2 linked regions of the Macaca fascicularis genome follow. The protein of the gene in region 1 interacts with the protein of each later gene in a biochemical or structural test. Links are inferred from orthologs where the notes say so. Each region holds a gene or a part of one and is shown in the gene's direction. Other genes may lie near its edges. The genes, in order: KLHL20 and DAPK1.

Region 1 (3,821 bases):
ACAAATGATTATTTTTACTAAACTTTAATGGTGTCTTCTGTACCTTCCTTTGTTCTCTTTATAAGTTTTTCTTTTCCTCTGGTATCGTTTTAAACTTCAGTGCATTGTGGAATACAGCTTTGTCCCATAACCCTGAAGAAAAACATTGAGACAATAAATGTGATCACAGGATTTTTTTTTTCTTCTTACCTAACTTTGAACAGGTAATGGAGAGTGAAGAGTTCATGTTGCTTCCAGCCAATCAACTCATTGATATAATATCCAGTGATGAACTAAACGTTCGCAGTGAAGAACAAGTGTTCAATGCAGTGATGGCCTGGGTCAAATACAGTATTCAGGAAAGACGTCCTCAGTTACCCCAGGTAATGATAAAAATGCTTCTCTAAGAAACTACTGGCCAGGCGCGGTGGCTTATGCCTGTAATCCCATCACTTTGGGAGGCCGAGGCAGGTGGATCACAAGGTCAAGAGATCAAGACCATCCTGGCCAACATGGTGAAACCCCGTCTCTACTAAAAATACAAAAATTAGCTGGGCGTGGTGGTGGGCGCCTGTAGTCCCAGCTACTTGGGAGCCTGAGGCAGGAGAATCGCTTGAACCCAGGAGGCGGGGATTGCAGTGAGCCGAGATTGCACCCCACTGCACTCCAGCTTGGCGACAGAGCGAGACTCCGTCTCAAAAAAAAAAAGAAACTACTTAGTACTAGATGAGATAATATGTATTGTCATGCAAACATAAAACAGTTATCACTCTACATTTGTCTGTAAGAAAGTCCATCTGTTTCCAAATAATCAAGGAAATAAGTATTTAGAAGCATTTTGGTTGCTTATTAATGTGGGCTTTTTGTTCCTTTGCTTTCTCCATATTTCTACTTTTGAATGATAGCACAATTCAAAACTTAAATTGTAGAAAATGAACAAAAGAAAGCAAGGATGCTTCTTTTCTATAGCTTGAAAATCCTACCACAGTTTTCCTTCAATATAACTTGGAAATAGTACCACACTTTCAAGAGTAAAGAGATGATGCATCAGTCGTCACTGAGCGATCAGTAGTTCACTTCAGACCCATTCTCGTTATTGTGACTATAGTCTTTAGCAATTCAACAAGATATTCTTCCGGATTGTGAATTAATTTGAGTCCAGCTTATAATGTATTGCTGAACATTTTTAGTAGTTACGCCTTCCCGCCTTCCTTATTTATGGTATTCAGTGAGATCCCAAAACAGCTGGAAGCACAGTAGGGTGCCATGGGTCATGTATTCTCTTAAATATCTTATAGATGAGAGCTCATGCCTTTAATAGTGTTATTCGTTGGGTGCAGTGGTGCAAGCCCATAATCCCAGCACTTGGGAGGATAAGGCAGGCAGATTGCTTAAGCTCAGGTGTTTGAGACCAGCCTGGGCGGCATGGTGATTCCCTGTTTCTACAAAAAAAAAAAATACAAAAATTCACTGGGCATGGTGGCATGTACCTGTAGTTGCAGCTACTCTGGAGGCTGAGGTAGGCAGATCACTTGAGCCCAGGAGGTTGAGGCTGCAGTGACCCATGATCACACCACTACACTCCAGCCTGGGCAACAAAGTAAGACCTATCTCAAAATTAATTAATTAAAATAATGGTGTTTATTTTCTCATAGGTGCTGCAGCATGTTCGTTTGCCTTTGCTTAGTCCCAAGTTCCTCGTGGGCACAGTAGGCTCTGATCCCCTCATCAAAAGTGATGAAGAATGCAGGTATGAGTGACCCTGGATGGGAAAAATCAACAACTAAGCATTCCTATTTCTTCCTAATTTCTTTATTTATATTGCTTCCTAAATGTTGTATTTTGTAGAGCTGAAATCAGGGCATTAATTTAACAAGACTTTCTTCTGAGCTAGGGTCAAGAGGAGGAAAAGGAAGAAGAGAGAACTAAACTTCCAGTGTTCCATTCCGTTAGTTTTTTATGTGTGGTGCTTATTGGTGTAGAAGTGGCAATAAAGAGGTAGATTTCCAAGATTCTGATGCAGGCTTGAATTTGAAGAGTCAATTCTCTGCTAATATTTTTTTTTTCCTTGAGATAATTGAAAATGTTGACTCTGTCAGTGAACATTTTTTCCTTCCATCACATATGTCTGGTTGGGGAATAGAATCAGCCTTGCTTTCTAAATTGTGGACAGAGTTAAAGATCTGCCACCTTCTAAAATAGCTGTAGAAAGATTTTCACTAGAACTAGGTGAAGCAGTTTCCAGAATTTTTTTGACAAAAGAAACTCCAACTACTTTTACAAAGGGGGGGAAAAAAGGCAACCTGTTTTACTAGGCTGTCTCTAAAGTATATACAAAATGTAATAAATTACATTCCCAATTTGACAGATTTTAAGATTTAGGTTCAAATCTGAAATCTGCGATTTTTAACCATTTTTCCCAGCATGTCCCAAATATAAAAGTGAAAGAGAAAATCCATACTCAGAACTTTTTAAACTACACTGACCTTTGGACCTCCCTTGGTGATTAAAGACATTTAGAATGATCCCTGATTTTAGAATGGTGGTAGGACATGTAGATTCACTTACATTTCTTCTATAAACTAAAGCCTGTTCTTTTAACAGGAGAGGCTGGAGGGGATTTTAGATGTTTCTATTTTATTTTATTATATCTTTTTTATATTAATCATTGTTTTTCCCTTTACCGTGGACTAGAGTTAAACTAGATATTTGTCTTTTATATTTAAAACACAGACAAATGGTAATTAATTCTCCCTAAATATTTGCAGTAGCAAAAAGGAAAACCATATACATTATACATGCTGAAATCTGAAGAAATAATACATAGATGCCCTCCTCCATTAAACGTAAATCAGATTGTACTGATTCTGATGCAGAAAGTAAAGGTACTTACGAAGTCACATTTAAAAGAAGACCCTTCCTGATATCCTAACTTCTTTGTGCTGCAGTTTCTTCCTCTATAAAGTGAGGATGATAATAGTGCCTATTCCATAAGGCTGTTTTGAAGATTAAATGAGTTTATATATATTAAGCACTTAAAACCATGACTAGCGTATAGCTGTAAGTCTTGTTGCTACCATTAATTTTGTGTTGGTTTGCTCAATATTATAACTCTATAGTATTATTTCTAGGAACCCTCAAATGACCTAACAAACTATTAGGAGGTCAAAGTCTTTTTTTTTTTTTTTTTTTTTTTGAGACGGAGTCTCACTCCGTTGCCAGGCTGGAGTGCAGTGGCACAATCTCGGCTCACTGCAACCTCCGCCTCCCAAGATCAAGCTATTCTCCTGCCTCAGCCTCCCGAGTAGCTGGGACTACAGGTGTGCGCTACCATGCCTGGCTACTTTTTGTATTTTACTTTTTGTATTTTAGACATGGTTTCACCATATTGGCCAGGATGGTCTTGATCTCTTGACCTCGTGATCCACCCGCCCCTCAGCTTCCGAAAGTGTTGGGATTACAGGCGTGAGCCATGGCAAAGTAATTACAAGTGTAATTACTAGATTCTTCTCTTAAAGTATCTTAACAAGACAGGAAATTTGTCTCAGTAGACTTGTTGAGAGTAAACCATTCATATGTTACCAGATAGTGAATTTGTGACAGTACAGTGGTTCTTTTTAGCAATCTGATTTTTGACCCCATTTTATTACTTTAACTAATTTAGCAAATAACTCTTGCCCTGGCTGATGTGCTACCTTGCTAATATCTTGCAGAATCTAATAAAATTTATTAAAAAGTAGTAACTCTGCAGTGTGAGTAATCAAATTGTGATTTTTACTTTTCTATAAGTTATCGTTGGCTGTAAGCATGTTGAGCTTTAGGCTAAATTTGCAGTGAGATAT
Region 2 (3,821 bases), on another chromosome or scaffold:
GATGCAAAGGCTTGTGGCCTGACTCTGTCACCAATAAGCAAGCAAACCAAACTCAGATTGGCTAATTGGGGCATTTGCCTGGCTGGATGCAGGACGTAGTTGGAGATGAAACGGCGTGTAAGCCGTCCTCCCAGCCATGACAGAGGTGTGGTCTCTTTGGGAAGGGAAGACACAACAGGAGCAACAGGAAGTGGCAATGGTGAGAAGCTCCAGTTCAAGGCAGCGAGAAGTGGTCTGGTAAAGCAGTGTGCGCTCTGTCAGAGGAGATGATTCAGACCCGTAGAGCTGGGACAGGATTTCAGAGGAGGGAGGATTGTCCCCATTCTTTTTGTAGCAGAGCTGTCAGTGTCCCATTCATGTCCCCCCGGCCCCACAAACATGTGAAAAGACACACACTCGTATACAACCTAAAAGAGGGCTTGCTGCAAATACCTGTGACTCTTTCTGGCATCTTGTTTGTGGCCCTGGGAGCTGGAAATGCAAAAGAAAAATTTCCACAGAAGCAGCTGTCAGCCTTGGAGGATGGAGAGATGGAGAGATAAAGACCCCAGCTCCCTCATGCTACAATTGGAATAACACCGAGTTCTCCTTTTCGTCTCCCATTCCCCTAGTTACCCCCACCTTGATAGGACACTTCATAGCAGCTTCCTTCTGTTTCCCGTATCTCCTTCCCCTACCAAGTGTTTCCTGGTGTCCCCTCCTTGTCTCAAGCCTGCTTCAGGGAGAACCTAGAGCAAGACATGTATTTCCTTCTTGAAATAAGAAGATATACCCTATGAATTCTGTACAAAGCTGGCTTGCAGATTTTTTCTCGTCATTAGAGTTAAGACATCACCTCTACATACGTTTAATTAAAATGTTTTAAAGATACACTGACATTTTCTTCACAATGTTTTGTCTCTGCCCCTCCTCTCATTGGTGAACACAGAACCTTAGGAAAATGGTTCTGTGTATACTCTTTCCTGGTGTACTCTTTCAACCACCCTGCTATACTCTTTCCTGGTGTACTCTTTCAACCACCCTGCTATACTCTTTCCTGGTGTACTCTTTCAACCACCCTGCTATACTCTTTCCTGGTGTACTCTTTCAACCACCCTGCTATACTCTTTCCTGGTGTACTCTTTCAACCACCCTGGTATACTCTTTTCCTGGTGTACTCTTTCAACCACCCTGCTATACTCTTTCCTGGTGTACTCTTTCAACCACCCTGCTATACTCTTTCCTGGTGTACTCTTTCAACCACCCTGCTATACTCTTTCCTGGTGTACTCTTTCAACCACCCTGCTATACTCTTTCCTGGTGTACTCTTTCAACCACCCTGGTATACTCTTTCCTGGTGTACTCTTTCAACCACCCTGCTATACTCTTTCCTGGTGTACTCTTTCAACCACCCTGCTATACTCTTTCCTGGTGTACTCTTTCAACCACCCTGCTATACTCTTTCCTGGTGTACTCTTTCAACCACCCTGCTATACTCTTTCCTGGTGTACTCTTTCAACCACCCTGGTATACTCTTTTCCTGGTGTACTCTTTCAACCACCCTTTCTTCCCTAATTTTTGGCCTTTTTTTTTTTTTTCTCCTTTTGGGGGTGGGAAGAGAAGAACTGTTCTGCCATCTTGTCCTCAGCATAACGTATCATAGCTTTTTATTTCTCTCTTTTTTCAAGCCTGAGAACATAATGCTTTTGGATAGAAATGTCCCCAAACCTCGGATCAAGATCATTGACTTTGGGTTGGCCCATAAAATTGACTTTGGCAATGAATTTAAAAACATATTTGGGACTCCAGAGTTTGTCGGTAAGTTCCTTTGCTCCTGTGGTCATTTACATCTCATAAACATTATTCTGGCAAACCTCCCCTGCTGGAAGATTCTTTCCCCGTTCCATGTTCCTGGTTGTTGCATGAAGATAGAATTGGTTAGTTTGCTTCCTCCCAAGCTAAATGAGTGTTTGTTTCCTCTTAGCTCCTGAGATAGTCAACTATGAACCTCTTGGTCTTGAGGCAGATATGTGGTAAGGAGTATGTCCTTGGTGTTGTTTTCTTTCTGATTTATTTGACTATTCTCCTGATGTGTTCTTTTGTTTGTTTTGTGTTGTTTTTAGGAGTATCGGGGTAATAACCTATATCCTGTAAGTACCAGAATTCACAACTCATACTCTCTTCTCTTCTATGAGACCATAGGTTTAATTAACCATTAAATGTGCTGTGTTGATCTCTTCAGCTTATGCATGCTTTTGATGTAAACATATTCATTTTACACCCCCAAAACATGTTTAGTTTATACTAATTAAACGTGTTCTCCTAATTTGAAATGAGTCATCAGAAACTGTAGCATAATCACTGAAAGAAAGCATAGCTGTCCATCACTGCCGAGAAAACAGGTTTCCTGTAAACTACCAGATGCTGTTCCAAATTAACTTGTTAAGTGAATCCTTTTGCACGAAGCTGAAGCTTTTGGTCCTGACAGTTAAAGCCCTATGAAATATAATCAAACTCTCAAGTGATTATTCAAGCACCAGATTATAATCTTATTCCACACTCCAGATGTTATAGGAGCAAAATGACAACACCAAGGGGTCATCATTAATGTTCTGTGCCCAACTTTATTTTTAACAGCCTAAGTGGGGCTTCCCCATTTCTTGGAGACACTAAGCAAGAAACGTTAGCAAATGTGTCCGCTGTCAACTATGAATTTGAGGATGAATACTTCAGTAATACCAGTGCCCTAGCCAAAGATTTCATAAGAAGACTTCTGGTCAAGGATCCAAAGTGAGTGTCCATGTTCCTGAAAGGTGCTTGGCCACGGCCTCAGCCAGCCCAGAGCCTGTGCCTGTTCCATACACAGGGCCGCGTTTCTCAGACCCTGCTTGCTTCATCTGCCAAAGGGCAGCATGCCGTGTGAAGCGCTTCAGAAAATGCAAGCAGGGCCCTCTGCCCCCGCTCAGTCGGTCCCTGCAGGCACAGTGAAATAATCACAAAAAGACCGATGTCGTTTTTGGCTTTCTTCCCTGAACTGCATTTTCCAGAGTGTCTGCTCGGCAGGCCCAGCCAGCAGGAAAACAACCTTAGTATTTGCTGCTATGGTCACAGCATTTTTTCCTTTCTCCCCCTCCCCTCAAGGAAGAGAATGACAATTCAAGATAGTTTGCAGCATCCCTGGATCAAGGTGAGTTGCATATTACTTCACTGTTTAGATCACCTTCTGTGTGATTGGTTTGGGCACCCTGGTATTCGTGTGTCTTAGAGTACTGCTAACCTCAGGTCACACCTGGAGTGTTAAGTTTGCTATTTGCATCATATTTTAAGAAAATCCTAATAATCCCAGAGGTGGGGAAAGAGGAATAAGCCAGCACAGAGCAGGATTGTAAAAGGTCAAGCCCACTCAACAACTATGTTTGGAGTGACGTGTGGGGTGTTGGCCCAAACAGTATATTTAAAATTTTATGTTGATTCCAGCATGTAAATATCAATCAAATCTGGATTTCCAGCTTCTCTTGGGAAATCTGAAGATCTGCTGACACTGAGCCCTCATTCCACATGGCCTTGGGAAGTGGCACAGGCACCTTGGTGCTGGGGAACAGGGTCCCCTGGAACATTACACCTTTACATTACCTGCCTGGCCTGATTGACATTTGGATTAAAGTTGCTTCAATCCAGGGCAGAAAGGATTAGGGGTGGTAAAGGATGATAGTTACAGAATAAAATCATGAAACAAAGAAGTGAACATCACAGAAACAGGCTTTGGGGGCAAATAGCTTTGCTGTGCAAGCTCCCAGCGGTTACCTGGGCTCTCCTAGCCAGCTGTGGTGTCTCCTCCTCCC

What was found.
Region 2: the proteins of KLHL20 (region 1) and DAPK1 are reported together in a solved structure, tested with the Homo sapiens proteins (2 studies listed by BioGRID and IntAct, with this or other methods). The link is inferred for Macaca fascicularis from reciprocal best matches to the Homo sapiens genes KLHL20 and DAPK1.

The regions. Positions count from the first base shown.
Region 1 is NC_088375.1:31,337,364-31,341,184, forward strand, and holds part of KLHL20 (kelch-like protein 20), read left to right. Parts: intron 1-203; coding exon 204-362; intron 363-1,634; coding exon 1,635-1,729; intron 1,730-3,821. UniProt on the Homo sapiens protein: Substrate-specific adapter of a BCR (BTB-CUL3-RBX1) E3 ubiquitin-protein ligase complex involved in interferon response and anterograde Golgi to endosome transport.
Region 2 is NC_088389.1:118,065,330-118,069,150, forward strand, and holds part of DAPK1 (death-associated protein kinase 1), read left to right. Parts: intron 1-1,667; coding exon 1,668-1,797; intron 1,798-1,963; coding exon 1,964-2,012; intron 2,013-2,102; coding exon 2,103-2,129; intron 2,130-2,616; coding exon 2,617-2,769; intron 2,770-3,120; coding exon 3,121-3,166; intron 3,167-3,821. UniProt on the Homo sapiens protein: Calcium/calmodulin-dependent serine/threonine kinase involved in multiple cellular signaling pathways that trigger cell survival, apoptosis, and autophagy.